Elephas maximus indicus: one gene and its partners. The protein of the gene in region 3 interacts with the protein of the main gene of each other region in a pairwise test. Links are inferred from orthologs where the notes say so. Each region holds a gene or a part of one and is shown on either strand. Other genes may lie near its edges.

The links.
Region 1: the proteins of TLE5 (region 3) and TRIM41 interact in binary tests that used the Homo sapiens proteins (3 or more experiments, as listed by UniProt). The two-hybrid records come from large-scale screens. The link is inferred for Elephas maximus indicus from reciprocal best matches to the Homo sapiens genes TLE5 and TRIM41.
Region 2: the proteins of TLE5 (region 3) and ZGPAT interact in binary tests that used the Homo sapiens proteins (3 or more experiments, as listed by UniProt). The two-hybrid records come from large-scale screens. The link is inferred for Elephas maximus indicus from reciprocal best matches to the Homo sapiens genes TLE5 and ZGPAT.
Region 4: the proteins of TLE5 (region 3) and tripartite motif-containing protein 26 interact in binary tests that used the Homo sapiens proteins (3 or more experiments, as listed by UniProt). The two-hybrid records come from large-scale screens. The link is inferred for Elephas maximus indicus from reciprocal best matches to the Homo sapiens genes TLE5 and TRIM26.

What each region holds. Positions count from the first base shown.
Region 1 is NC_064820.1:199,954,015-199,961,925, forward strand, and holds the start of TRIM41 (E3 ubiquitin-protein ligase TRIM41), read right to left. Parts: upstream 3,016-7,911; 5' UTR 2,716-3,015; coding exon 1,903-2,715; intron 1-1,902.
Region 2 is NC_064843.1:4,354,534-4,361,772, forward strand, and holds the start of ZGPAT (zinc finger CCCH-type with G patch domain-containing protein), read right to left. Parts: upstream 3,010-7,239; 5' UTR 2,982-3,009; exon of another isoform or gene 2,938-2,981; intron 2,931-2,937; exon of another isoform or gene 2,847-2,930; intron 2,680-2,846; 5' UTR 2,559-2,679; coding exon 2,458-2,558; exon of another isoform or gene 2,456-2,457; intron 2,339-2,455; coding exon 1,691-2,338; intron 1-1,690. Other genes in the region: ARFRP1 (ADP-ribosylation factor-related protein 1), read left to right, coding at 4,029-4,121, 4,333-4,420, 4,581-4,663. UniProt on the Homo sapiens protein: Transcription repressor that specifically binds the 5'-GGAG[GA]A[GA]A-3' consensus sequence. Represses transcription by recruiting the chromatin multiprotein complex NuRD to target promoters.
Region 3 is NC_064821.1:6,146,852-6,154,267, forward strand, and holds the start of TLE5 (TLE family member 5), read right to left. Parts: upstream 3,010-7,416; 5' UTR 2,892-3,009; coding exon 2,865-2,891; intron 1,819-2,864; coding exon 1,721-1,818; intron 1-1,720. UniProt on the Homo sapiens protein: Transcriptional corepressor. Acts as a dominant repressor towards other family members. Inhibits NF-kappa-B-regulated gene expression. May be required for the initiation and maintenance of the differentiated state.
Region 4 is NC_064819.1:89,895,506-89,902,973, forward strand, and holds the start of tripartite motif-containing protein 26, read right to left. Parts: upstream 3,019-7,468; 5' UTR 2,397-3,018; intron 1-2,396.

The DNA of each region.
Region 1 (7,911 bases), on a different chromosome or scaffold from region 3:
GGTGCTACTGGATGGGTTCGAACCACCAACCTTTAGGCTAAGAGTTGAATGCTTAACTGTTTATACCACCCATGGACTCCCTTCAGGGCCTAAAACAGGATTTTCAGGCAGCTGGCATTTGGTAGATGTGACCAATACAAATAAAATCCAGTTTCAGAAGGTCCTTAGAGGAGTCCTGCAGGAGAGTGGAGGAAAGGAGGTGGAATGCCCACGGAGAGTCTATCCCTGGTTCCAGTTAACGGAGTGACTGCACATTGTGTGACTGGTACAGTTAACTAGGAACTGAGGGGATATAAAAAGACAACGGGTGTTCATAACCTCCCATAAGGATACACGGGTAAAAGGCAGGTGATGTTAACCAATGCAGTGATTCCTAAACTGGGCTGGGCTCTCCTAAGAATTCTCCCCACACCAATTCAGAATCTCTAATGGTAGGACCCACTGTACTTTTGAAAAGTTCCCCTAGGAATTATGAGAGTTAGCCAGGTTTGACAATCACTCCTTGAAAGGAATAGTTAGTGATAAAGGGATATAGGTCTTAGCCGTACATACTCAGAGCTGAGAAGCCCTAGACATGTTACTCTAAAATTGACATAACAACAACAACGAACCTAACTTGAGGTGACTGTAGGAATCAGGAGAAGGTGTGAAAACACAAGTCAGAGCAAAACAGCACCGCACAGACCACAAAGAAGTAGCCACCCTCTCCTTCTCCTGGTCCTGCTGCTTTCAACCCATCCAGGCTTTGGCTTAGTAGTATTTACAAACAAATCTCCTTCACCTATGTCCAAGAAGAGTCAAGATCAGAAGAAGGGGGCAAGATATTACCCAAACCAGAATCGGTCTCCAAAGAGGAAGGTCACATGTCAGAAATGTCAAACTAACAACAGACATCCAAATGGTGGTAACAGCTTCTAATGGATCGGGGGGCAGGGGAGTCATAACCAAATCCATTTATTAGTAGCTCTGTGGTCCTGTATACATTACACCTTTCTGGTTCTGTCTCCCAATCTGTAAAACGGGAATGAAAACATACCAAAATCACAGTTTTTTAAGCTTTAAATAAGAAAGTCCAGGAAAAGCGTTTAGTAGAGTACCTGGTATACACAGTAAGTGTTCGATAAATAAATTAAAAAACCCAGTAAATATTAACTATTAATCCTGACTTGATGGCACCTAACAACAACAGCAATCATGGAGAAATTAAAGTTCAAAAGATTCAGAGACTTGCCCAACACTTGACGGCAAATAAGTGGCAGAACCAGGTCATCTAACTTAAAAAGCTTCTCTCTTTTTTCTGTATGTTACAAAAAGTAAGAAGTTCTGGTCAGTATATCAGACTGCTGCAGATCCTACAAAAGTTCTCAAGGGGAGAACCAAACCAAATCATGGGGTGGGTAGGGAACTCCAGTCAGGAGACAAGTGGGGGGCACCTGTCATTTTTACGCTCTGCTTCAGAGCCCAAATTATTGTTCTCTGAGAGTCCCCATCTCTTGGGGTCTCCGTCAAAGACAGGCTTAAGATTTACCCAGAGGAAGTGGAGACTAGTATTAAAGCACTAGGGGCCTGTCACCTGCACTCCTACACTTAGGGACAGTGGAAGAGTGAAACAGTAGTGGCCTGCTCTACGGGAGATGCAGCCCAGTAATCTGGCATCATCAGCTTTGCCTTATATCCTTTGAGGAGGCCAGTCTTCGCTGGTCTTCTTTGCTGTATCTCCTTTGTCGGTGTACAGGACCCTTCTGACCCTACCCCACCTGGGTGCCAGTAAGTAAATGCTCACATAAGGAGAATCAGCTCACCAGTACATGAGGTTCTTGGGGGGGAAAGACGCTTCCATTTCCCAGCTCCCCTTACTTTCTCTCCACCCCCACTAAATTCCCATCTTCTCTCTTCTCTCACCTTGTACTCCTGCACCACCTCCTCCAATGGCACCACGCTGTGCTGTTTGTGGCTCCTGGATTCTCGGCACACTACACAGATGGCCTCTTCGTCCACTTCACAGAAGAGTTTCAGGGCTTCTTGGTGTTTGGGGCAGATGCCCTGCTCGTTCCCACGACTCGCTCGACCAGGGGCTGGGTGCATCTGCCGAATCACTTGGACCATGTTGGCTAGCTGCAAGTTCGGACGGAAGCTCCGCCGGGGAAAGCTCTTTCGGCACTGGGGGCAAGTGAAGCACCTCCGAGGGGCAGGAGGCGGAGGCAGTGGGGTGACGGGATCTAGCTCCTCTTCCTCATCCTCCTCCAGTACCTCCTCCTCGTCCTCCTCATCCTCCCCCCTCAGGTCCTCCTCCATGTTCCCCAAGTAGTAGTCCAGGTCTTCCTCCTCGTCCTCCTCCTCCCACACGTAGTCCATGTTGTCCCAGTTAGACCCGCCCATGCCATTGGTCCAGAACACTCCCTCTTCTTCCTCCTCGACCTCCTCCTCCATATCGCCCTCATAGTCTTCGTCCCGCATGGGGGTGTCCCACCCCCCGCCGGCTCCCACAGCCTCCACTTCTTCCTCGTCTCCGTCCTCCTCCTCCTCCTCCTCCCGGTCTAACTCGTCCCTGTCCTCTTCATCCTCCCCGCCCCACAACTGGGTTACACACACTCGGCAGAAGTTGTGCCCGCAGCCGATGGACACGGGGTCCGTGAAGTAATCGAGGCAGATGGCGCACACCGCCTCCTCCTGAAGGGTCTGCACAGGGTTGGGTGTCATGGCAACGGCAGCCATCTTAGCGTCCAGTCAGCCAGTTTAGATGTACGGTGGGGGCGGGGAGGGGGGCGGGGGGTCTTCCCTCTCAGACGCCCTGGCGACCCGGCCCCACCCCCAGCCCTGCCTCTCCACAGCTCGCTTCAAGTGCCGCCTGAGAAATGTTCTTCTGACAACCCACCCCTCCACACAGAGCTCCCTACTCCCAGACGACAACCGTGTCTCTGCGTGGGCAAGGGAAAAAGCTGAACGCTATCGCCAACTCCCTCAGGTGGCCCTGAGTGCAAATCCACCCCAACGCTTCCCTGGCCTCCTCATAAACCCCCGCCCCTCCTCACTTCCTGGCCCCGCCCCCTCACTTCCGATTTCTCACCCAACACTTCCGGCGTCTACGCGCCAGACAGGCTCGTGAGTTTCCCCCCCCTTCCCCGGTCCCTGGGCGACAGGAAACGGCGAGGAGACGCTCTAGCGGGCACTCGGGAACAGGGCGGGAGGGATAGGACATAGGAGCCCTACATCTCTGTGATGCGGCGGGGTGCGGAACGCAGAGCAAAAGCCCCGCCCTTCCCCTCCTCAGTCACTGGAGAGAAACTTGGGAGAACGGTGGGAGTACTTGGCGGCTGTCCGCTCTCGGTGCCATGACCGAATCGGCCGGGCGCCCCCCTACCGGCCGAGTACAAATGACACCCGGGCCTCAGCGCTGCCGGTGCCGGAAGCAGAGGGGCGGGGCTTCCTTGAGCGCTCTGCAGCGCTTCGGCCCTTCTAGGCGGAGGACTTTGTTGTTCGAGCGCTCAGATTTCCTCGGTGATGGATCAGGGGGCGGAGCCAGAGACACCCTACCACTATAGTTGGCCTTGTCAAAAACCTCAATTGTTTACAGAAACATGAAAAATTAGCGTAACGGAATATATTTATTGAGTAGATACTATTCCACTCAGGCAGCGGTCACCCGAACGTGTTGGGAAGACTCTCCGAGAGGAGACTGTGAAAGCGGGTTATAAAGGTCAATGTTATGTTAATTTATCAAGAGATAACATCAAGCACAGGGCAGGTTACAGAAACAGTCAACAAGGACATGCCATATATTCTAAAACAGCCTTTAGCCAGACCCTGGAACTTCTGCATTTCGAAGCTGAATGCACAATGCCTAAGGCCAATGTCTCTGCTAAGCGGCATACTGAACTCGTTTGACCTGAAGGTGACTCCAGGGAACCAGTTCTTTAAAGGTTCAAAAGAACACCTAAGGGCTGATGGCCTGGGTGGGTCACCCCACTTCCATGAACCCAGAAATCTGGATTTCAGGAGAATCAAAACGATTTTGTCAGCATCTTCCATGCCCATTTTAGAGATTGTTGCCTGATCACTGTAGCCTCCTGTAGGTGAACTTCCCTAACTCCCATCCGTAAAGGGATGGTGACAGATCTTCACACGAGGAGCTCTGGAGTCGCAGTGGTTAAGACCTCCACTGCTAATCAAAAGGTGGGCAGTTCAAATCTACCAGCTGCTCCTTGGAAACCCTGTGGCCGCTCTAACCAATAGGGTCACGCTGAATGGTAATCGACTCTACCCAATGGGTCTGGCTTTTGGTATATCCACACAGTGGAACACTATCTGTAAAATGCAAATCCATCTTCAAGATTTATTAAGTGAAAAAAGCAAGATACAGGCAATGTCCGGGCTATGAACGAGATTCCTTCCAAAAGTGTGCCTTTAAGTCAAACTCGTAGGTAAGCTGGAACAGGTGCATATGTTTCTTATTTAGCCTTCAGTGCAAGAAAAGTCTCGATGCCTTTTCAGTGATTTAAAAGTTGCCTGTGCAGCAAGTGAAGGTGATTGTGATGAAAAATTTGTTGCAAGTAGCAAGCAGTTGGTTCAATCATTTAAAAGTAAAGACAAATTTACATAAAGGGCAGGTACCAGTTGTCCATAAGTCTGACATCAGTAATCTCGGGACTTACTGCACAGTGTGTAGAGTATGTCCTCATCTGTAAAAAAGAGGAATATGTTTCAAAGATGTATTTGATATTTGCACATTCCTGCGCTTCAGTTTACTCATGCAAAATGAGGATAATAGTACCTACCTCAGAGGTTTGTGAGAATCAGAGCAAATATGTAAACCGACAGAACAGTGCTAAGCACATAGTAAGCGAGATACATTAGCTACGCATTACTTATCCTTTTCATCAATGTCTCTGCAAAGATACTGGCAGCCGAGTTCTGCTGAGAAGGCAACGGAATGGCCAAGGGTCACGAGTAGGAAAGACACTTTCCCTGTATCTTTCTGTCTTCTTTGAATTTTGAACCAAGTGAATGCATTACCTTAAAAAAATGAAAATACAAAACTTTCTAAATGCCATCGATTAATTCAACTAATACTTTCCGAGCTGTGCACCACACATATTCTGCTCACAGAAAGCCTCAAGGTTTGTCTTCTTGGTGCCCTCGTCTACGAACAGGGCCTCGGACTGGGTTTGTGGAATTGATTTTACTTGAGGCAATTCTGTCCAGGCTGTGGAATTGTAGTAGTAAAGATGCCGCTGTGGTACCCAACATCACTACTAAGTGGATTTCATGTGTGATAGCAGTAGTTCTAGATGCTTTGTTTAAACTTCTTGTAATTAACAGCAATAACAAAAACCTGTGAGCCAAGTTCCTGCCCATAATGTTCCCGGTGGTGCAGTTGTTAAGTGCTCGGCTCCTAACCGAAAGGTCAGCTCTGAGACAGAAAGATGTGGCAATAACCTCCAGTAAAGATTTTTTAAAAAATGCGAATCACCCTATAGGACGGAGTAGAACTGCCCCGTGGAGTTTCCAAGGCTGTAATCTTTACAGAAGGGCACTGCCACCTCTTTTCTCCCACTGACCTGCTGGTTGGTTCGAACTCCGGTTAGCAGCCGAGCGCTTAACCACTGCACCACCAGGACTCCTTCCACAAAACGTTACAGCCTTGGAAACCTTATCGGACAGTTCTACTCTGTCCTCTGGGGTCGCTATGAGTCGGAATGGACTGAATGGCAATGGGTAATGTATGTGCAGAATTGCCAGCGAGTGCCAAATGCTGAGCGGTACCAGGGCACCACATCCAGAGTTTACCCCTTTTTTTTTGGAGACACTTTTCGCCTCGTGAGGAACTCCAGAAGAACAGGAGGTTCCGAAGTGGGTGGTCCGGGGACTCTGAGCGGCTGACCCAAGGCGCGAAAAGCCACGAACCCGGCGGTTCGCAGAGTGCGCGCAGATGTGAGCTGAGCGGGCGCCCGCCCAGACGCACTGGCTTTAGCGCTAGAAGTCAGGCCACGGGACTTGAACACTGCGGAGTGGCAGTGCGACGCGCCTTTGCGGATTGCAGTCGCACTTAGAGCTGCCATTCTCTGCCACGTGTAGTTTGAGGATTGTATTAAGGATGTGCTGATAATCTGTGTTTTTGTAGTGTAGTGGCTATCACGTTCGCCTCACACGCGAAAAGTCCCCGGTTCGAAACCGGGCGGAAACAGCCTTTTCTGGTCTATTTTTCATTTCGATGCCCACGTCTTCACGGTTATCTCGTCTGCGGCTCGAGATAGGGGGAGGGTGCTGTCACATGGAGGCATATACAGACAGATGTGTGTATCTAATCTGTGTTTCAGGGAAACAGTAAAGCGCGATCACAGCAGAGCTGGGCTCACACCAGATCATAAATGTTCACAATGTCAATTCAGCTAAAAAAAATTTTTTTTTTTTTACTACTCTTGCCTTCGGAAGCCTGGGCCGCCACCTCCTCCGGATAAGGGCTGTAGGTTGTAGGCTTCGGATCCCCGGACCTTTGTGTCTAGGGCGCAGCCAGGCGCACAGTAAGTGATCCATGAATTCTTGTGCAATTAATTCTGCAAAACTCCTTGAAGTGTGTCCGCACGCCTGCTGTGTATCCCGGTTTCCTGAGGCCGAAGAAAAAGGGTTGCGGATGTTGTCAGACTATCTCAGTCGGTAGGGCACGAGACTCGTGAACTCACGGATTTGAGCCCCACATTGGGCGTGTATTCTCTTTTGAAAATGAAAATGGCTAAGGAATTTTTGTGCCAAAGAAGAGTCGGAGGGAGACTGAGTGGGCTTTGGCATCGTGGACTGGCGGTGTTCGCCGAAGCTTGGCCAGACAGGAGGTCGCCCAGGTACTGACTAGAAGACCTCGAGTTGGAAAACCCACAGCCGTAGGGCTTTGCTGACCATAGGTGAACGAGTAACTGGTGGGTATCAGCCGACCAACTCTTGGGGCTCTTCACCCTGGGTCACGGCTCCGCCTGCTGCCATCTACGTATCCATTCTTCCATCTATGTTCAACAAGTATAAGGCAACTTCTGTTTACTGCATCCGCCCGGGTAGTGGGGAATAGCTCCGAAGGAACGGAAGAGTTGTGGATTCGCTGCCATGGGGCGTGGCTTCCCAAGGCTAGGGAAATAAGGGCTGCCCCAGGAGGTATTCTTGAATATCAAAGCCATAGCAGGGGGAGTTGAGACCACTTTTCTAGATGATTTAGAGGTTAGACGCTTTCACGGCCTCGGCCAGGTTTCAGTTTCCGATCAGGGAAGACATGCTCTGTTTAATCTGAGACCCTCATCCTCAGCATATGCTCTCAATTTTAAGAGTTGATCTTTTGTGAAATGTTGCTACACACATTCCAGCCTTCATGTTCCTCCCACAAATGTGAAATTTTCCTTTACTTTGAAACACCCTAACGTTAACATCCTGTTTACCGACCTATTCACGAAATTCTTCTTAACTTCAATAGAAATTTGTTCGTTTATGTTGACTGTTTCCTCAGTTCTGCAAATTCCGCCTGTTTTCTATTTTCCAGTTGTAAAAGTCACCACCATGTACACACCAGACCACGAGAGAAATCTGTTTGTCATAAGTAAATAAAGCTGATTTATTGCATTTGCTGAGCAAGGGGGAAGAACATCACCTTGACAGTCTCAGAAATGTGTCGAAGGGGGGAGACAGAGAGGATCCTTAAGGCTGGGGGGGGGGTGTGGTTTAATATGATACCCTCGGAGGGTGGTCTGGGCAAAGATCAGAGTTTGTAAACTAGGCAGAGTTGCCAGTACAGTCAGATGGCGTGAATCTCTGGGGAGTTACTGTTACTATGACCTTATCTTGGAATTTATGAATCTGAACAAGCTGGTATTCAAGCAATTTGAACGTTGTCATTTTGTTTCACCCAGATACTTGCCGGTTGGTTTGCAAATT
Region 2 (7,239 bases), on a different chromosome or scaffold from region 3:
CCCCAATTGTGAATTTATCCCTACTCCAAGGTCAGCAGAATGCCTCAGGGCGCTTAATAGGGCCTATCTCAGGCCAAAGGAAATCAACAGCCACTGAAGCCGACTTGGGGGCTGGGAGCACGTTAAAATATACGCAAGTACCTAGCTTTCGCCGAGAGCACCGTTCCTCTCTGGTTCCGGAGATGTGGGCATGCCGTGCAGCTGGCTGCTTCTCCCTGAGGAAACCACGGCCTAACGCTACCACCAGCCTGCCGCAGCCACTCCTGGGAGTGGTGCCTGGGGGTTCCCGGCAATTCAGGTGCGGCAACTCCTCTCCGCTTATGAACTGTCTCTCCCGTCCCCTGCAGCTCAGTCTATTTTCTAACACCGCCTTGGACGTTCAGGGCTCCTTGCTTGTCATAAATATAATCGTTTCACTTGTTTTTTTGGGTCTTTGTTGTAAGAGAAATCGCAGGAAGCACCTGGCTATTCTACCATCTTGGCCGCGCCTCCTATCTTAGTTTTAAAAATCCAAAGCAAATTCAAGAAAATAACTTATCAGCTCTGGGTGGTGGAAAGGTGGGTGTTCACGAGATGCTTCAGCCAAACTCCATCCCTGCTGAGCTTTCAGCCTGTGAAATGGAGCCGCACGGATAGATTACAGCACTAACGTGTGGGGAACTCTTACAACTGCACACCTGGCCTGCAGGAAGCACCAGCTGGAAGTGCTCGCCCTCATCATCCTCCTAGGACAGCACATATAGACTCCGTGGTGAAAGCCTCCAGGAGGACTGAGGTGGGAAGCCTGTTCCTGCTCCTGTTTGCTGATTACACAGGTTCGTCCAGTGGGAAAACCCACTGAGGAAATTTATGATTTACACACTGTTCTGTACACACGTCATATTTCAATAAACACTGCAGAGAAAAAGGAAGGAGAACTTTGCCAAATAAGATTCTGGGCCCAAAAAGAATCTATAAGTCGATAACACAGTCAAAGAACGAGGATTAGTCACCGTGTCTGCTGGCTATAAAGAGGAGTTATCGACTGGAAGTGTCAGTAAATGTCCCTTTCAAAAACAGTAAAAAGGAAAAATAAAGTTAGATATTTTAGTAAAAAAGATATCATGGCGACAACCGTGGAAATCTGAGCGTGACTCAGGTATTACTGCTACATCTGTGAGGTATTATAACTACGTGATGTTTTTTATTTTACTCACGTCTGTGTCTGTTAGAGACGTATCCTAAAATACTCGCAGATGAAAAAAACAGTAACTCTTAGAATACGCCTTAAAGTATTCAAACTGGGGAAAACGAACAAAACTGGCAGAACGCTGACAACTGATGAAGCTGGACGACAAGGTAGGGGCAGCATGATCTTACCCTCTCTAATTCTGCGCGTGTTTGAAATTTTTCTTAATATAAGTAAATCGTAAAGGTTTCATTCTGGACAATACTGCTCCTGATGCGCTAGAAGCCTATTCTTTTCAACATAAGCTCTTCTGTCCTTCCCCCCAGTAAAACTGAAGTAGATATCTAACTGTGGACACTTCTGTGGGAAGCTACTGCTTCACAGAGCTCTCTCCTTGTCAGCCACTCTGCTGGGTCACGGAGGACAAAACTCCACCGCACAGACAGAGCCAGCTGGGATCCTGCCGCTCTCCGCATGTCCCTTACACCCTAACTGCTGGGGCACCAGAACAGAGGGCTTTACCTGCAGTTCTCCTTGAAGCGGCACTTCCCCTCCAGGAAGAATGGGCAGGGCTTCAGGGACTTGTGTGTGGGGTAGAGGTACAGCACCCGGACAGCAGCCGAGCCATCCTCTGCCTGTTCCGTGCCCACAATCATGGCATTGTGGTACTCCAGGGTGCCCCATGGGCTGTAGTAGGGGGCGTTCACCTTTGTCCCACTCAACTCTTCCTCCTCGTCATCCCCCCCTTCTTCTTCCTCTTGCCCAGGGTTGTTGGGTTCAGGCCCTGCCTCTCCTTTAGAAACAGTCTCCAATTCTGCTCCTGGGGCTTCTGGTACCTCAACTACCTCAGAGATGGTCTTCTGCAAAGCCAGGTACTCAGTATCCTCCTGGGCCAGGTGTTCTTGGTCCAGTGTAGCCAACAGTTTGCTCTTCCTGACAGACACCAAGCTGGCTTCAGTGAGCTTGATCAGCTCCTTCAGGTCTCCCTGCAGCTGGTGCAGGTCAGCCTGCTCCGATGCCTCCAGGCCAGTACCCATGGCCAGCTCCACTTGCTGAAGCTGCACATGGTAGGTCTGCAAGGCCATCTCCAAGCTGTCCTCATCCATCCTGCCGTCGAGGACACGGAGGTGTGTCCCTAGGTCCTCAGAGAGGAGGCTGCCGGAGCCAGAGCTGCAATGAGAAGGCAAATGAGCCCCGAAGTCTGCTGCCCTCATCCCGACACCACCCTGTAAGGCTGAAGCTGACTGAGCACCGGTTTGGCCGTGCTCTGTGCAGAGCCTTACTCACACGGTCTCAAGAAACTCTCAGACAGGCCGTGAAACAGCTCGGCGATTTCTCCCGTTGAAGGATGAGAATGCCGACAAGGGGGAGAACCAGCAAGGAATCCCATCCGATGGCCCCACAACCTCGTTTCCGCCGACGAAGAGCTACGCTTCCCTCCCAAGGCCTCCCTGGGATCATGCGTCGGGCTTGACCGGGGTTCTCCGTGTCCTGTCTGAGCTCGGGGCTCCCTGGTAGGCGACCAGAGAAGCCCGCGTCAGCTCCCCTCAGTCCGGCCCGCGACCCTCGGCCCAGTCAGCCCTCGGAGCCGGCCTCAACTCCCCCTGGGCCGCCCTGAGTACCCTTCGGGCCGACTCCGTTCTCCCGGGTCCACGCCCACCTCCGCGCCACCTCTCACCTCAGGCTCAGGCCCCGTCCCCTCAGAGCACGGTCCCCCCATCGCCCCGCGCGGTTACCCAGCAGCCGCCATAGAGCACCGCCCGCCTCACCGGCTAGAGCGGTCGGGCGACCCTCCTTCCGCCCTCGCACCTACCACCACTTCCGCCCTCGCGCCGCCGCCGCCGGAAGTGCGCGGCGCAGAGGCCGCCGGGAAGCGGTGCGCGGGGGCCGCCGGGAGCGGGTCTGGGTGGCCGAGGCGTCCCAGCAGGCGCAGCGCGGGGTCAGGTGCGGGTCGGGCGGCGGCTCGAGGCCCGCGGACAGGTAGGTCGCGCGTCCCGGCCGCCCCTCCCGCCGGCGTGAGGGCCAGGGGCAAGGCCATGGCAGTTCGCTGTTCTTGACAGGAACTCGGAACTCAGGGTCTGCGTGGGCGGCGGGGCTTTGGGCGCCGGGAGCCTCCGCCTCGGACGCCCGGGCCGGCCTTTCGCGGCCACCGCCGCCTCCAGGGGTGCTGCCCTGCGAGATCGACCCCAGCGGCTGCCGCAGCCCCGGCCCTGTGGCTTGTCTCCAAAGAACGGACGTCCCTTTCTCGTAGCCTCCTGTGGCTCCTGGCGAGTGCTGGCTCGAGGTGGGCGAGCAGGCCTGCGCCCTGGCACAGCCGGAACTTAAAGAGCTTTCGGTTGCCCAGGCTGAGTGGGAGCGACCGTGTTCCAGGACCCGCGTGTGAGAAAGCTGAGCTTGAGCGGAGTGCGGCCTGGTGGCCGGGCGCTCAGCGCCCGAGGGCGTGTGCCTGCGCGTTCGCACACGTGGCTGGGGTCCTCCGCGTACCGGGAGGGCGAATCAGGGATGGGACAAGAGTCCACATACGTCCTGAAAGGCCACAGTCGTTGTTGTGAGCGGAGTGACCTGGAGAGGCCAGGGCTAGGACTGAGGAACTCCGTGAGTGGTCCTGGGAAGGCTGTTGGCCACCAGGTGGTGGCAGTGGAGAAGGAGGAAGCAGGCCAGTTTGGGAGAAGTGGAGGCAGAGTCAGGAAGCTTGCTGAAGAGGTGGTGGAGCAGGGGTCAAGAGTGGCCCCTGGGGTCCTGGTCTGAGCAGTTGGCAGGACAGACCACGGATGGGGTGCTGTGTCCCAGCTGTGGAAGCTGGTGGGCAGTGAGGTGTGGGTTGGGCCACCCCTGACTGATTTGGGCGTCTCAAGGCAGGATGTACACGCTGCTGTCGGGCCTGTACAAGTACGTGTTCCAGAAGGACGAATACTGCATCCTCATCCTGGGCCTGGACAATGCCGGAAAGACGGTGCGTGCTGGGGCCCTTTTGGTTTTAGGCCTTCAGCTGCACACTGACCACCGAGACAGATGTTGAACCCCTTTTGAGGCCACAGGAAGGTCACCCCCCAGTTCCTCTCACATTGATCTGCCTTCTCAGGAGTGGGCCCAAGAAGGGACATATGGGAGGCAAACTTGGAAATTGGCTCTGCCTGCTGGCTGATGGTGTCTTCCCTCCTCAGACTTTCCTGGAGCAGTCAAAAACCCGGTTTAACAAGCATTACAAAGGGATGAGCCTGTCCAAGATCACCACCACCGTGGGCCTGAACAGTAAGTTGGGCCTTCAGGCTGCTCGTGTGGGGTGCTGAGCCCTGGGACGCTGCAGGGCCCCTCACGTGCCTGTGGGCAGCCTGCTCTTCTGAAACACAAGTGTGGGGGAGGTGGGAGATTCAGAGGAACAGGGTCACAGCCTTGTGCTCTCCTTCCCCAGTCGGCACTGTGGATGTGGGGAAAGCACGCCTCATGTTTTGGGACCTAGGGGGGCAGGAGGAGCTGCAGTCACTGTGGGACAAGGTGAGCTGCCGTGGGAAAGCGTGTGAGTGTGTGTGTGTGTGAGTGTGTCTCTGTATGTGTAGAGAGCTTGGGCCCCGCCACCCCACCTCTCCAGGCACCACCTGCCGCCACCCCTTTCCTCTCCGGACAGTGCCCCTTGTTCTCAACCGCCCTCAGGACCTGACTCAGCCTCTTTCCATCTCGTTAGCAGCTGCTTCATCCACTTTGTTCCTGAGGTTTCTCTTCCTGATCCTACCTCAGGCTGCCTAGTTGCTTCCCCAGAAGCAAGGAAGTCCTTGGTTGTTCTTAGCTTAAAAATTTTGTTGCTAATGATCACGAGACATGGACAAGTGACAGCCGAGGACTCAGTGCGGGCAAGTTGCAGAGGCTCTGTGGTGCTTAGCTGGTGGCCACTTCCAAGTCTCTTCTGATGGGTTTGAGCGTCTCCTCCCTCAACTTGGGCTTCAGTCAGCAAGACCTGTTTTTGCATGGTGGTTTCTTCTCTTCAGGGGGACGGCTTCCTCAGAGGTGGACAGCAATGCCTTCTCTTTTGACGTGGGTTTTGGGCACTTTGGAGGTCTCAGCATGGGGCTCTTCTGCCCCTACACCCCAAGACAACCCACACGGGATAGAGTTGGTCTTCAGCTCAGCCGTGTGCCTGCAGTGAGCAGACAGACCAGCCCCTCCCACAGAGAGCCCCTCTTCTCAGATTGGTGTGGGGCAGGACGCAGAGGTCCCCGCCCTGATACCTGCCAGTTGCCTCTGTGTGGGACCAAGTGCCGAGTGCTGGTTTCTCACCCCAGCAACAGGCATCCAGCAGTGTTCCTCCTGCCTGGCTTCAGCTGAGAGAGCGGCTGTCTTGCCAGCCAGAAGCTCTTGGCGTGCTCCGTGTGACCACCGGCACTGGCCGGAGGCTCTTGGCGTGCTCCGTGTGACCACCGGCACTGGCCGGAGGCTCTTGGCGTGCTCCGTGTGACCACCGGCACTGGCCGGAGGCTCTTGGCCTGCTCCGTGTGACCACCGGCACTGGCCGGAGGCTCTTGGCCTGCTCCGTGTGACCACCGGCACTGGCCGGAGGCTCTTGGCCTGCTCCGTGTGACCACCGGCACTGGCCGGAGGCTCTTGGCCTGCTCCGTGTGACCACCGGCACTGGCCGGAGGCTCTTGGCCTGCTCCGTGTGACCACCGGCACTGGCCGGAGGCTCTTGGCCTGCTCTCTGTGACCACCGGCACTGGCCGGAAGCCCTTGGCCTGGTTTTTGTGACCACCAGCACTGGCTGGAAGTTCTGGGCCTGCTCTCTCTGACCACTGGCACTGGCCAGAGGCTGACCGAGCCCAGGGCTCTCCTTATCAGAACACCAGACGCACATGGGAAGTAGAATAGGCCACATGGGATACATTTCCTTGTCACAGGCCAGGTTCTCAAGCAGACACAGACTGGGGCGCGGGGTGTTTATTGAAGATCAATACCTGGGAATAGAGCGGGGAAGATGCAGCCGTGGGTAAAGTGAGAAGTCATGCTTCAGTGCAGGTCCGGGAAGGTGTGGTCTGGCAGGCTGGCCCTTTGCAGATCCTGGAGAGCTGAGAGTAGGGCTTTCTGCAGGCACTCTGTCTGTGGCCGGCAGTGGCTGTGCTGCCTGGGCCACTGTGCACACGTGAGGTGGCTCCTCTGGGGTCCCAGCGGTCTTTCCTCATTTTCCGTCTGCTGACCTTCTGGGGCCTTATTGTGCTCAGCTGCCATGTCCGCTGGCCCCAGTGGCTTACCTGGCAGAATGACCCAGAGTCCGCAGCAAGCCCTGGGCACCGAGCCTTCCCCATGTGCAGTCCTGGGGTGGGGCACCCAGTCCCGCATGTGTTCCCCCAGCGCTGTGGACTGCAGCCCTGCCTCCTGCAGCTGGGCTCAGTTACCTCTACACGAGGCGTCTCCTTTTGGTAACTGGGGTCCCTGGACACAAGCCCAAAGTGGTGCAGCCAGAGTTTGTAGTTGACTTGCCTTGCCGTGTCCTCTAGTGAGAGTGCCCTTTAGGGACCCAGGCCTCAGGGTGGAGGGCCAGTGGCACCGGCCCCAGCATATCACTGGAAGGGGAGGGCCAACCCCCTGCTTCCTCCCCGGTTCCCAGACCTGTGTGTCCTTGAGGGAGAGGGGAGGTATGCACCACCTGAAGGTACTTCCTGCAGGAACTCCACGTGAAGGTCCGTGATCAGTGAGTCTGCTGTGTTCTGGAGCTTGTACCGTAGCAGAGGGCGGTGCCTAGGTGTGAGCACATATAACGAGTGGCTAGCTGCCAGTCATAGTCTAGCTGGTACCTCCTTTTCTGGGGAGTCCCAGTCTAATGTGATGTGACAACATCCGTACTGGTGTTTGACCCGGTGAGCCCTCAGTGCTGCTGGAGAGTGTCCTTGGGCAGGGAAGACAGACTTACACGCAGTACACACGTCTGCAGGAGAGTGGGAGAGGCCCAGTGTAGTCAGCCTGCCGGCATGGGCCCAAAGGCTCCTAGAGCAGTGACACCCCACCAGAGCTCCACACTGTTCTCTACTACTGCAGGGTGTGTGGTTGGCAGCAGTTTTCTCAACCTTGTCAGCCACTGTGGGCCC
Region 3 (7,416 bases):
TTAGCCTATTTAGACCGAAGCAAGTAGGGGGTCCCCACGGACTGGCTGTCCCTCCATACCCACCTCAGCCACTCCCATCATACCACAGCCAGAAGGACTGGGTTCATAGCTCAGCCCTTCCATGCTCTGTGGCCCTGAGCAAATTCCTCTCCCTCTCTGAGCCTCGGTTTCCTCCTCTGTTAAGTACCAACCTCCCAGGGTGGGGTTGTACAGATTCAATAAATTAAGACAGTAAAGCTTGGATAACACGGCCTGGCATACAGTAAGCACTCAATAAGTGCTCACGGATCTTACCAGGCTGACCAGGTCACAACATCCCACAGTTCAGAGGTGATCCACAGCTGGAGTTTCTTTGCCCCCCACAAAGTTTATTTTCTTTAAAAACGTGCGTTCGTTGGCAGTTTAAAAAAAGCAATCTTACTCGAAACGCTGGGTCTCTGGCCCTTCTTGAGGAAGGCCTCATTCTGTCTGGTTGATCCTGTGTGTGACCCTGACATGGCAGAACCCCCCAAAGTAGAGCAGGACATTCAGGCCCAGTAGATGGAGAACCCAAAGCTGACAGAGGGGGTCTGGCCTGCCCTCTGGCCCTCGGCCTCTGGGATTGATGACCATGAGGTGGGCCTAGGTCAGGTGAAGCCCCCAAACCCTCCACATGGCAGGACTAATGCAAAGTCCCTGGGGCCTGTCTGGCGAGCTGCTTCAGACCTTTCAACTCCCTGTGCCTCAGTTCCCTCATCTCTAAAATGGGTACAGTAATAGGACTGCAAGAATGAGTGAACAAAAAGATTGCATATTTGTTAAAATAAAAATAAATCGCTATTCCCCTTTCTTCTTGCAGAAAACCCAGGATCCTTTGAAGACCATTTTTGTGGGTGGGAAAACAGGTCCAGAGAAAGTCTCAGCCCCACTAGGATTTCTGGCCATGGGACCCACTTCTAATTCCCAGGTGAGGACCCCTCCATAGCAAAAGGGTTGAGAACTTGCATTCTTAGCCCTGGAGAGACTGGGTTCAAATCTAAGCTTCATCACTTCCTTGCTGTCTACCCTGAGGCAATCTCTAACCTCTCTGAGCCTTCGTTTCCTGATGTAGAAAACAAGGTCAATAACAGTTCCTTCTGCTTAAACCTGACACATGGCAAGCCCTTCAGAAATGTTAGAAGACTCAATTCAGGAGGCAGACCCTCCTTTGAGAATCTGCCAGGAGCCTTCTCCCCAAAACGGCAGAGAAAGAGAAGACTGCAAAAAAAAATTTGGGGGGGTATCTTGGACTCGGAGGGTCCTTCTTGGACTTGGAGGTCTTTTACCTACTGAGGACTGGGGGAGGGCTCTGACGCCAGACAGACCTGTTTTTGGGTAAGTCATTTAACTTTCTTGTGCCTCGCTTTTCTCATCTGTGAAATAGGGTCAATTTGAAGAATAAATGTTACTGCTGGCCAAGTGGAGTCCAGGTGGTGCAATGTTTAAGAGCTGGGCTTGCTAACCACAAGGTCAGCAGTTCGAATCCATCAGCAGCTCCTTAGAAACCCTATGGGGCAGTTCTACTCTGTCCTATAGGGTCACTACCAGTCTGAATCCAACGGACAGATTTAGGTTTGGTTTTTACTAGCCACGTGTTTAGGCTAGAAGCTGGCATACATATGACCCTCTATTTCCATATTTTTAAAGTAGATGTATGGGGGTGGCAATCTCCATTCCAGATAACCCCCAACCCCTGGCTCACCTGTGGTACTGGGCCTGCAGGAGCTGAAACTCGTCTTTGATACGATCGCAGGAGTCAGAGGTGGTGAATTTGAGTTGCTGGGGGAGGTGCGACGAGCCCTGTGAGGAGGGGGCCGCAATTCAGGGCCAGGCAGGCTGGGCTGCCTCCTCCTTCCCCGGGGTGACCAGGGGGCGGCTGCCGCCGCAGCTGCAGCGTCCCCCCTCGTGCCCCACTTCCTGGGCCCATGTTTACAGCCTCTGGCGCGGCTGCCGCCCCCGCTTCCTGCCCCCGCCTCTCCCGGGGGAAGCCGAGGGGGTGGGTGGGCCTGGAGCCGCCCGTCCCCCGCCACCCCCGAGGCTGTGGGGGCGCGTTTTAAAGCCTGCCCTTGATGGGGGGCAGGATGCGCCCCCTACCACCCCTCCAAAGCGCCCAGAGAAGGGGGTGCGCATCGGAGCGCCCCAACCACCTGGAGGGCCGAGGCCTCACTGCAAAGTCCCCTTGGGGGAGGGGCGTCTCCCAGCAACCATAATATTTCAGGGGTCCACACTCCAGGTCCCCAGAGTCCTTCCCCAAGGCCACGCTCTTCCGGGAGGATTGCCCCCCCCACTCCAGGCCCCCCAAGCAGCCCCAGAGCAAGGGGTGACCAGCAGGGTTCCCGGAGCTCCCAGGACCAGGCCAAGACCGCCTACGGACCGGCCTGGCTGGGAAGGGGGGGGCCCGGAGCTGGAGAGGTACAGGAAAGGGGGTACAGGACTGGGGAGCTTCGGGAGATTGGACTGGGAAAGTGTGGGGGGGCCCGGCCCGGAAGCTGGGGGGGGCTGGGCCGGGGAACTGGGGAGGGTGCACCAGGCTAGGAACTGGGGGGGAACGCCGGGCCCGGGAACTTGGGGGGGGACCAGGACCCGGAAGCTGAGGGTATCAGGCCTGGAGTAGGGGCGCAGCGCGCTGGGAGCTAGGGTTTGGGGCGCTGGGCCCAGGAGCTGGGGGAAACTGGGCCCAGGAAGTCGGGGTTGTGGGGGAGTGTAGGGCCTGGAGCTGGGGGTGCCAGGTCCGGGAGCTGGGGGGGTGCAGGCCTGGAGGTGGGGGGGGGGTGTAGACCCAGGAGCTGGGGGGTGCAGGCCAGGAGCCGGAGGGGGCCGCGGCGGGCCGGGCGGGCCCCGCTTACCGAATGCCTGCTTTGTGGAAACATCATGTCAGTCGCGGCGGGGGGCGCGGGCTGCGCCCCGGCTGTGCGCCCCGGCTCGGGCTGCTCGGGGCGCCGGGCGCCGCGCCTTTGTCCCGGCGCCGATCGGCCGCTCCCGGGCCGCCGCCGCCGCCTCGCGCGCCCGGCTCGCCGCTTCCTGCGCCCCCGCCCGGCCCGCCGCGCCCCGGGCCCGCTTCCTGCGCGGCCCGCCCCGCCCCGCTCGCGCCCGCACCCGCCGCTCCTATTGTCTAATGGCGGCGCCGCCGGAGTGGCCGCGGCCGGGCTGCTGCTGCGAAGGCTCCGGCTCCACCTGCTGCCGCCGCCGCCGCCGCCGCTGCCCCGTGCGCGCCGCCGAGGGGGGGGCGCGCGCCCGGGGAGCCCTGCGGCGCCCCACCCCCGCCGCCGCCCGGGCCGTGACCTTGCTCTGGGCCTCAGCCCCCGGCCCCCTCCTGGCCCCTTGGCCGTGGCGGCTCGCCGGGCCTCGGTTTCCCCAACTGTCAGAGGAAGGGGCCAGGCTGCCCTGGTCTACACCGCAGGCCCTATAATGGCGCGCCCTGGACGCGTGCCACCCACATGCTCCGTGACCTTGGCACGGTGGCTGGTGTCTCTGAGCCTCAGTTTCCTCAGCTGTGGAAAGGCAAGTGGGAACCTGCGGCCCTCAGAAGAGTCGTTGCTTCAGTGAGCATTTATGGAGCGCCTACTGTGTGGCCAGGAGCCCTAGTGGCAACGGTTAAAGGTGGGAGGTTGGAACCTACCCATCTGCTCTGAGGGAGAAAGGCATGGTTATCCACTTCCCTACAGATTCCAGCCTAGGAAACCCTATGGGGCAGTTCTACTCTGTCACATGGGGTCACCATGAGTCGTAAATCGACTCCACGGCACACACCAACTGTGTGCCATGCCCTGCTCCAGGCGGTGGGGTGGGGTCCAGATGCCCTTGTGGAGATGACATGTGACAGAAAAGAAACAAATCCTGAGGCCACAACCCTGAGGCGTCAGGTGGACATAAAGGGGTGCAGTATTAAACAGGGGGGTCAGAGAGGGCTGCCCTGAGAAGGGGACATTTGAGAAAGACCAGAAGAAAATGACGGAGGGAGCCAATAGGGGCATAGAGGTGGCACGTGCTCAAGGAGGCAGGAATGGCCAGTGCAAAGGCCCTGAGGCAGGACTGTGCCTGGCACACGGGGAGCCTGGGAAGCGATGAGTACCAGCATCACCCAGTAGCCAAGACATTATACCTAAAAGGGCCAGGGTTGGTTTAATGCTTAGTTGTGACCGTTTTAAAATTATTGATTTTTTTAACAAGGTGATCTGCAGTTTTGATTTGCATTCCAAAAAAACAAAAACAAAAAGAAACCAAACCTATTGCTGGCAAGTCGATTCTGACTCATAGCGACCCTATAGCACAGAGTAGAACTGCCCCATAGGGTTTCTAAGCTGTAATCTTAATGGAAGCAGACTGCCACGTCTTTCTCCCTGAGAGCCGCTGGTAGGTTCCAACTACGGACTGAGTGCTTAACCACTGAGTCACCAGGGCATTGGGCCCCGCAAACTGTAGTGGATCATAGAGGGAGGTGAGGGCAGGGAGGTAGATGATACAGGGCCTCACGAGTGTGGGGAGGACTCGGGCTTTGACCCTGAGGGAGGTGGGACTCTTTGGAGGGCTGTAAGCAGAGGAGAAAGGGAGGGAGGGGCCCTGACTCCCTGACTTGGGTTTTGACAGTATCCCTCCGGCTGCCCCCCTAGTGTTTGTCAGTTTGTTGTACCGTGGGCAGGGCGGGGGGGCTTGCATATTGCTGTGATGCTGGAAGCTATGCCACCGGTATTCAGCTACCAGCAGGGTCACCCATGGAGGACAGGTTTCAGCTGAGCTTCCAGACTAAGACACTAGGAAGAAGGACCTGGCAGTCTACTTTTGAAAATAATTAGCCAGTGAAAACCTTATGAATACCGTATCATATGCGTGTGAAAGCTGGACAATGAAGGAGGAAGACTGAAGAAGAATTGATGCCTTTGAATTGTGGTGTTGGCGAAGAATATTGAATATACCACGGACTGCTAAAAGAGCGAACAAATCTGTCTTGGAAGAAGTACAACCAGAATGCTCCTTAGAAACAAGGATGGCGAGACTGCGTCTTACATACTTTGGACATGTTATCAGGAGAGACCAGTCCCTGGAGGAGGACATCATGCTTGGTAAAGTACAAGGTCAGCGGAAGAGAGGAAGACCGTCAATGAGGTGGATTGACACAGTGGCTGTGACAATGGGCTCAGGCATAACAAGGATTGTAAGGATGGCGCAGGACCGGGCAGTGTTTCCTTCTGTGGTACATAGGGTCGCTCTGAGTCGGAACGGACTCAATGGCACCTGCCAACAACAACAACTCCGGCTACCGCATGAACAGACCCTGAAGAGGCTGCTGAAATGACGTGCGCGTTAACATCAGCCCCTAAGCCATCAGGTCAATTCCACTTCATGGTGACCTCATGTGTTACAGACTTAGAACTGAGCACTGTAACGTTTTCTTGGCTGTCATCTTTACGGAAGTAGATTGCCAGGCCTTTCTTCCTCAGTGTGACTGGGTGAGCTCCAAACCGTCAACCTTTCAGTTGGTTCACCCATTGCCGTTGAGTGGATTTCAACTTGTAGTGACCCTATTGGACAGAGTAGAACTGCCCCATAGGGTTTCTAAGGAGTGGGTGGTGGATTCGAACTGCCGACCTTCTGGTTTGCAGGTGAGCTCTTAAGCACTCCACCAGCAGGGTTGATTGGAAACCATCTGCACCACCCACGTATCTTCAGATTGGCTCCTGGAAAACGCTAAAGACAGGGTCCGTTAACTGTCATCATCATCTATGTAGGCGTCCTCCGCTGTGAATGTAACTCCTTTGGGCCTTGAGTGTTCCCATCTGTAAAATGGAGCATCAGAACCCATCTCCTTTCTGGCAGTTAAGGGACTGGGACTAGAGTGACATGAGTGGGCAAAATTGAAGGGGACACCCCCCCAAACTCCAAAACAAAAACCTCAAAAGTCAAGATAAATAATATTTTAATGCAATATTTTTTAAAAATGCAAAGAAATCTGGGATGGACAAAGTGTCAGCATTTTAAAGAAGGCTCTGAGGGAGCCCAGATCGGGGTGAGAAAAGATTGGAGTCACGTAAAGTGCACTCCTGCCCTAGTACTGACGCCTTAAGAGAAACCGAGTGAACTTTTGTCAAATTCTTCCATATTCTTGTGGGGTTCTGGAATAAGCAGACCCATAAATCATACTGGTGAGGGCTAGCTACAGAATTTGCTGGGCCCAGGGCTAAATGAAAATGCAGGACCTCTTGCTGAAAAACATCAAGAATTTCAAGACAGTGATAAAAACCAAAAGCCAAATCCATTGCCGACGAGTCCATTCTGACTCATGGCAACCCTGCGTGTTACGGGGTAGAACTGCTTTGTAGGGTTTTCTTGGCTGTCATCTTTGTGGAAGCAGGTTGCCAGGCCTTTCTTCTGTGGCCCCACTGGGTAGATTCAAACAGAAACCGTTTGCGCTATCCAGGGACCTTAAGATGGTGAGCTCAGAAAGACAGTTTTAAGGGGTCTTCCTGAGCTCGGGGCCCTGGGTGACTTCCAGGTCACAGCAGAGGAAGCTGGCCCCCTCCTCCAGCCCTGCCATAGGGACTGGACCCCTTTCTCCTGGGAAACCACCTGAATCTGATCTTCATCTAGGCAGGCACCTGCCAGTACCAGGGCACACTCCCATCTTAGGAGCCTCTAGCCAGACACAGACATACCCAGCCCCGAGGGCTGGGCCTTAGAGAGGGACCCACAGTTTGCCTTTGAAGAAGGGGAATTTTGAAGAAGTAATTTTCAGAAGAAAGGGGTTTTCAAGTATATAGAAAAGCCCGGAAGTGTGGCCCAAACTATGAAAAATAATACCCCAACCAACATATGTATGCATTTTTATTACACGCCAGGGTCTGTCTTAAGTGCTTGAATGCTTAGATACTGCCATCATGCCCATTTTAGAGATCGGAAAACCAAGGCAGAGACAGGTTAAGAGATTTGCCCAAAGTCACACAGCTGGTAGGTGGCAGGGCCAGGATTTAAACCTATGAGCTCCCTGGGTAACGCAAACAGCTAAGCGCTTGGCTACTAACCAAAACGTTGGCAGTTCAGAACCACCCCAGGTCACCTCGGAAGAAAGTCCTAGTGATCTTCTTCCGCAAAGTCACAGCCAAGAATACCCTATCGAGCATTGTTCTACTCTGCAACACGGGGGGTTGCCAGCAGTCGGGGTCAACGGAATGGCAACTGGTACTGGAGTCCTTGACCACAACACGGCACTGACCTAGGTGGGCCATGAAGCAGGTGTGGTGGGAGGTATTGGCTGAAGAGGGCCAGGAGCCATGACTATACAGGGCCCTGCATCCTGGGCTGAGGAGTTGGGATTTTGGGGAGCACTAGGTAGTGGCGTAGTGGTTCAGTGCTGCAGCTGTGAACCAAAAGGTTGGCAGTTGGAATCCACCAGGCGCTCCTTGG
Region 4 (7,468 bases), on a different chromosome or scaffold from region 3:
ATACAGCTTTTGTTTTCCAAAACCAACTTCTTCCTATTCTCTATGCCCTTCTATTTTGACCCTGGGAGTCTTAATCTGAAGTCACTCCAAGGAGCCTCAATTCGGAACACAAGCTCTCTTCTGTGGTTCGCAGTGTCTTCTGGGTGGTCAGTGCCAGTCTGAGTCCAGACCTCTGTCACCCCCTTGCAGGAAGTGACATCTAAGAGGTTACCCACTGTCTCTGGGCCTCAGTTCCCTTACCTTTTAACAAGGAGAGAATAATAATACGTGACTTGCCAAGTTCTCCAAGTTGTCTGAGGTGAGGTCACATAAAAAAAAAGTGTTCTCAATAGCAAAAAATGCTATAAAAATACATGCCAGGACAGAGCACAGGAGTCAACTGGAAACTCCCAGTGGCCAAAGCTGGAATAACTTCAGCAACAAAATAAATGACATAGTATTAGATGATAAACCAAAGTATCAAATAAATATTCATGAGTCCGTATTGATACAAATAAATGACTGAATAAATTAATAAATGGGAGAGGAAAGGTAGCTTTCTCCTGCAGCATCTAAGTGATTTATGTAGATACTCTGCTCTCAGGAGGGGCAGCATAATTCCCCACTGTTTAGGTGTGGTGTGAGCTTCACATAATAACTTCCTTCTTACAGTATGGAAGGGGGGGGGTGGGGAAACACTTCTTCTGCCAGGTGTTCAAGGTTAACATCAGCATGAGAAGTGATGTTGATAATGTTCACCTTTGATATGATGTGGTGAGAAGGGTACTCTTACCAGTAACCCATAACCCCAGTCTTACCATGAGAAAAACATCAGGCAAATTCTAATAGTGGGGCATCCTACAATATACCTGACCAACAGGAAAACTAAACCAAACCTGTCACCATTGAGTCAAGTTTGACTCTTGGCGATCCCCTATGTATCAGTGTAGAACTGCCCCACAGGGTTTTCTTGGCTTTAATCTTTATGGAAACAGATCGCCAGGCCTTCCTTCTGTGGCCCTGCCAGGTGGATTTGAACCACCAACCTTTTGGTTAGTAACCAAACCCGCTGCCCTTGAGCCGATTCTGGCTCAAGCACAAACCATTTGTGCCACCCTCAAAACTGTCAAGATCATCAAAAACAAATAGAATCTGAAAAACTGCCACAGCTAAGAGGGGTGTAAGGAGACGTGACAACTAAATTTAATGTGGATCATGAATGGGATCATGAAACTGACAAAGGATATTTGATAAAAAGTAAGGAAGTGTGAATAAACTACAAACCCGCTGCCGTCCAGTCGATTCCTACTTATAGAGACCCTATAGGACAGAGTAGAACAGCTCCATAACATTTCCAAGGAGTGCCTGGTGGATCTGAACTGCCGACCTTTGGGTTAGCAGCCTTAGCTCTTAACCACTACACCACCAGGGTTTCCAAGTAAACTACACACATCAGTTAATAATGCTGCATCAATATTGGTTCATTAATTGCAACAAATGTACCACACTAATGTAAGATGTTAAAAACAGGAGAAACTGGGTATGGGAAAATTGTGGGATAATATCTGGGAACTCTGTACTATCTTCTCAATTTTCCTGATACTCTAAAAAGTAAAGTCTATTTTTCAAAAACGATCCCCTTAGACTAGGAAGGAAAAAAAAAATGGAACTAGGGATTATGATCTTAATTAACAGCCATGAGGCTTAGGCACGGTGCCTGACACTGATATTTGCTGCATGGGCGACACTCTCCCCTCTTTTGATGCACACACTAATTGCTGCGGTGTCAAAATCTGGAGTGTAGTGGGAACTTGGGGAAGTGCTTACCTCCCATGTGCCCTACATAGGAAAATTTACACACTCGGAATCGACTCGATGGCGGGTGGGTTTGGTTTTTTTTTTTTTTTTTTGGTCTTAAAGCCAAACACAGAGAAAATCAGCGGGAGTGCTCACGGGCTGGAGAAGGAATGAATGCACAGCTCCAGGCAGATCTGGCCAAACCGGTTTATTCTGACTGAAAAAAAAAAAAAAAAAAAAATGCAAAGACACCACGACTTCAGAGTTAGAGGAGCCCGGTTGGCCGTCTATCTCTCAGGCTCCAAGCAACCAGACCGTCATCCCGGCCCCGCTTACTTCTGGCTCCAGAGACAGCACGGATCGGAGCCTGAGTTGGACATGGAAAGACAAGGGAGACCCAAGAGGAAGTGGCGAACTGAGGGTAATAGAGGGAAAAGCAGTAGGAGGGATTAGGCTTGGAGGGTGCGCGCGGCGGACTCCACCCACCTCCGAGCTTGCCCGGCAGCCCGGCCCGGTCCTGCCCCCGAGGCCCGGCGTCCGCGTCCGGTCGCCCCAAACTCCGGGGCGCGTGTCTGAGACTGTTGTGTTGTTGCATTTCTCATCGGAAGCCCCCTACTTACCGGTCCGGGGCTTCGGGCCACGAACGCGGGTCTAAGATCGCTTCTCTCCAGCGGCAGTGTGTTCCGGGACCGGGTGCTCTGCCAGCAGCCAGGGCAACAGCGCCTCCCCGCCCCGCAATCTCCGGCCTCTCCAGGGCACCCGGGCGAGATTTCTCCCGGGCCTGCCCCAGGATTGGTCCCTGCCGAGCCGCGCCAACCAATCGGAACCTGAATTTCCTCTACGTCACGATCACCGGTCGTATACCCGGGATTGTGAGGGGTGTGGGGCAGCGGTGGCCAAAAAATGAAACTGAAATTCGCCGAGACGTGGCTGAGCAAAAACCGCCGCCAGAGTTCGGCGTGTGTTTCGGGCTCCCTTGTTACAGGCGAAAGGGACCCGAGTTCTGAGGCCTAGTGGGCCCGATGAATCCCCGGTGGAGGACTCTAGGGTGCAAGAATCTCCCCCTTCTCCTGAGACCCTCGCCTTCCGATTCCGGCCTGGGGCTGAATGAGTGCGAAGTGGCGCTCGCCGGGTGCTGAACATGAGATCCGACTCTTGGCCCCCAACGCCGCATAAACTGGCCTCCCGGACCAGGCAGGAGCACAGCAAGCGAATTTCCTCAGGGGGCTGTTTATAAAAATTAACTACCATTTATGGAGCGCCTACGCTGAGTAACGCGCTTTTTTTTTTTTTTTTTATATCCTTAAATAAAGCAGGCATTGTCATCCCCACTCGACAGAAGCGAAAACTGAGGTTCCGAGAGCTTGGGAGTAGACCTGTTTCCGCGCTGAATTCTGAAACTACAGAGCCGGACTCGGGTTCCCAGAGTCCTCCATGGGGAAATTTTCACCAGGTTCGGCGCGTCCCAGCCGCCCTCGGCCCCGGAAACAGACCACGCGCAATCGTCCCTGCTGCCCAGTCTGCGCCTGCTTCCTGCTTTGTCTGCTGCCGCGGCACACAGTTCCGTTGCTGGGCCACCAGGTGCTGCTGGTTCCCAGGCACCACGGCATAAAAATCCGTCAGTCTCCACTGCGCGCAGCTACGAGCTGGGTGGGAAGGTTCTCGGGGTCAGCCAGTGCCCTGCCCTAAAGGTTGGACTGGAGAGGGGTGGGGCACAGGTCGCGATTTTGGTTCCTAATCCGTCCCTTGGCGCTCCCCCCCGCCCCGCCCCGCAGCCTGGGCTTGGGTGAGAAGAGGGTTGCAGCTATGTATGGGGAAGGTGTTCATGATGGGGTGAGCTCAGGGCCGTAAATCCTATTACTTGCCTGGCTTGTCCCTCCCCTGTGGGGCTGGCGAAATTTGTAGGAATTACTCTGGGTTTAAGGAGTTAAGTCCCTGGGTGGTGCAACCAGTTAAGGCGCTTGGCTGCTAACTGAAAGGTTGTAGGTTCAAGTCCACCCAAAGGTGCCTTGGAAGAAAGACCTGATCTATTTACAAAAAATAAGCAGTTGAAACCCCTGTATAGCCCAGTACTACTCTGACACACGTGCAGTCACTATCTTAGGCCGGGCTCTCTAGAGAATCAAAACTGGTGAAGGTATCTGTATTGTCTACCTATAAAACCAAAACACCAAACCCTTTGCAGTTGAGTAGATTTATCTCAAGTAAATGGCTTACTCGGTTACATTTCTTGTCCTTGTTATATATATCTTAGAGTATAACCCTTTAAGTGACAAAAATGATCACACTTATTGCTAGAATCAGATATACCAGAAAAAACCAAACCCAGTGCCATCAAGTGGATTCCGACTCATAGCGACCCTACAGGACAGAGGAGAACTGCCCCATAGATTTTCCAAGGAGCACCTGGTGGATTTGAACTGCCGACCCTTTGGCTAGCAGCTGTAGCACTTAACCACTACACCATCAGGGTTTCCAGAATCAAATATATGTTTGCTTAAATAGTCTATATTTCAATTCAAATATTTACCATTTCCTACATTTTTTTTTCAATCTAAACTTAGATTTTATTGACTTTTTTGTTTGTTTGTTTGGAAATAAAATGTCTTCATTCCACTATCTCATTTCTGGTGTGTCTCATTGTGATTTCTATCTTTTGGCTTCTTAGAATTCCTCTACAATAGAACTTGTTTAGAGTTCTTTTGTGATACAGATCCACCCAATTTCTGGTAACTGTAGTAAGACAGCATTTTTCTTATTTTCTTTTGTCTTAAAAGGACTTCATCTAGTTGGGAGGTGTCCTTCAAAAGCTTTTCTGGGGCCTAGGAGGCCTGATCCTGCCCCACCCTCCTTATCTTTTGGTTCATGGTCAAAGACAAGAATTAGTCACCCGAATTCATTTATATATGTTTAATTTGGCTGTTTTAGGCATCTAATGTTGCTATAACAGAAATACCACAAGTGGATGGCTTCAACAAACAAGTTCATTGTCTCACAGTCTAGTAGGCTAGAAGTCCAAATTCAGGGTGTCAGCTGCAGGAGGAGGCTCTCTCTGTTGGCTCTGGAGAAAGGTCCTTGTCATCAATCTTCCCCCAGACTAGGTGCTTCTCTACACAGGAACCCTGGGTTCAAAGGACATGTTCTGCTCTCGGTGCTTCTTTCTTGGTGGTATGAGGTCCCCAACTCTCTGCTTGCATATTTTTGAAGCTTAAAGACTCAGATTCTTTCATAACAACCATACAAAACCTGCTTTCCTTCTTTCTGAACTGAATTCATTCTGCTGGCTAGCGACCTAGTCTCTTAGTCCTAAAACATGCTAGTCTCTTCAGTTGGAAAATACCCCAAAGTGGCCACTAATTTTCCAAACTGTCCCAAATGAGGTTATGCCAGCCAGACAAGAACTTGCATTGTTAAGGGACCAAAATGCTTGTTCATATAGTGAAGAGGAGTCTCAGAAGGTGGCTCTAATCTCCTTTAAATATGGCATTCCCGGTTTTATAATGACAACCAAACCAAATGTTTACTTGCAAGAACCAAACCGAATCCACAATAAAACTTGAAGAGCTATGGAGTGGAGCTCCAACTGAAAAGGTTGTTTTTTTTTTTTAATTTATTTTTGCTTTAAACAATTCCTGAGGATTTGCGGAAGCATAGAGCCCAAAACAGCTCAGTGGTACATTGTCCATGTTTCTGATGCTCCAGGGACCAGGAAAAATAATAACACCTTCGAAATTCCACTTCTGACACTAAAAATGTTGAAGAGCAAAATTCTTAACTCTGTAAGGAGTAGAAAGGAGTGAGTTTTACTGAGGAATAGTACAACTTGAGTCGGGCAGCACCAAGTAAAAGTACAAGATGTTCCAAAGTTCACAAAGGAATGCACTGTTTTTATGCAAGAAAGAGTGTGGCTGCAACCACAAACAGACCTGTCTTTATATCACTTAATCTCTTTTCAAATGTATTCTTCTTGAGAGCAAGCATTTTTCAGGAACAATCTGAGCACATTTTGTGAAATCATAGTTAAATAACCGTAACCACATTTGTTTGCAAAATAAGATTGATTTACCCAAAAGTGGTACTCATGCTTTCAAGCAGCAGCAGGGGTTTAAAACAAAATGGAGTCCAATCCAGACCTGTGTCAGCTATTTTTAGTTATGTCAAGCGCCTCAGTTTTAGAGTGCTCTTTCTTAAGGGGAATTTTCAAACCTATACAAAAGTAGACAGAAAATCATGAACCAACATATTCCCATGACTTAGCTTCAACAATTACCAACATTTTTCTCACTATGTTTCATCTATTCTCTCTTCCCATTTCTTTTTTTAACTGGAGTATTCGACTTGGCGGCACTGGGGTTTTTTTTTGGGGGGGGGGAGTATTTTAAAACAAATCACAGACACAGTATCACTTCATCTGTAAATACTTTTGTGTGCATTCTAACAGATAAAGACTGCTTACCTATACAAAATGATATTATCACTCCAAAATTATATAATTTTCAATAATATTATATCATTTAATAAACCAAATTAGTTGCCAGTTATTCCAGCTCAGGCGACCCCATGTGTTTCACAGTAGAACTGCACTCCATAGAGTTTACATGACTCTGACCTTTAAAATCAAATTTGCCAGGTCTTTTTTTTCAAGGTGCCTGTGGTGGGTTTGAACTGTCAACCTTTCAATTAGCAGCCAAGCCCTTAACTTTGTACATCCAGAGACTTCTAATATCATTTAATATGCTGTCAACTCGATTCCAACTCATGGCAATCCATATGTTACAGAGTAGAACTGCTCCATAGGGTTTTCTTGACTAATCTTTACAGAAGCAGATTGCGAGAACTTTTTCTTCTGCAGCACCACCGAGTGGGCTCGAACCACCAATCTTTAGGTGGGTAGCCAAGCGCAAACCATTTGTGCCACCCAGGGTCCTTACCATTTAATAAACCAAACAACAACAACAAAACCATTGTCATCGAGTCAATTCCAACTCACAGTGACATAGGACAGAGTAGAACTGCCCTATTGGATTTCCAAAGAGCAGCTGGTGGATTCGAATTGCTGAACTTTTGGTTAGCAGCCAAACAATTTAATACTCAGTCCATATTCAAATTCCTCTGTTTTCTGAAAGATCTTTTTACAGCTGCGTTTTTCGAATCCTGATCTAAACAAGGTCTCAACTAGTAAGAAGGAAAAAAAAAAAAATCAAAACATGGAAATAGACAAAATAATGACTGTCCTTTCTGTGTGACACTGGAGCATTTTCTAACAGGTCTACCCAATAATTACCTAATTCTCTTGGGATATGTGCCTTTGCTTTGACTTACTACAGGTAGTCCCTGACTTACCACTTGGTTACATTCTGATGACTCTGTTGTAAGTCGGTTCTGATGTAAGACGGACAAGTACCTCATTTTTTTCTTTTTTTAGTTTTCATTATCACTGCCTTTTATTATCAGTATCTTTATGTAAAAACGGTGTGGGAGTGGTGCCTGACCTCCTCTAACTTCACAAGGGGGAAGGAGAACTGTTATCAGCAACAACCGGCCAAGGCTGATTCCAATGAGGCAGAGGTCAGGCATACCTTCTCTCGATAACCTTCTTACCAATTCTGACACCAACTGTCCCTCCCATGGCACACAGAACTCCTAGACCATACTCACATTTTTCGAGTTTATTAGGGAAGTAACAGGTTAC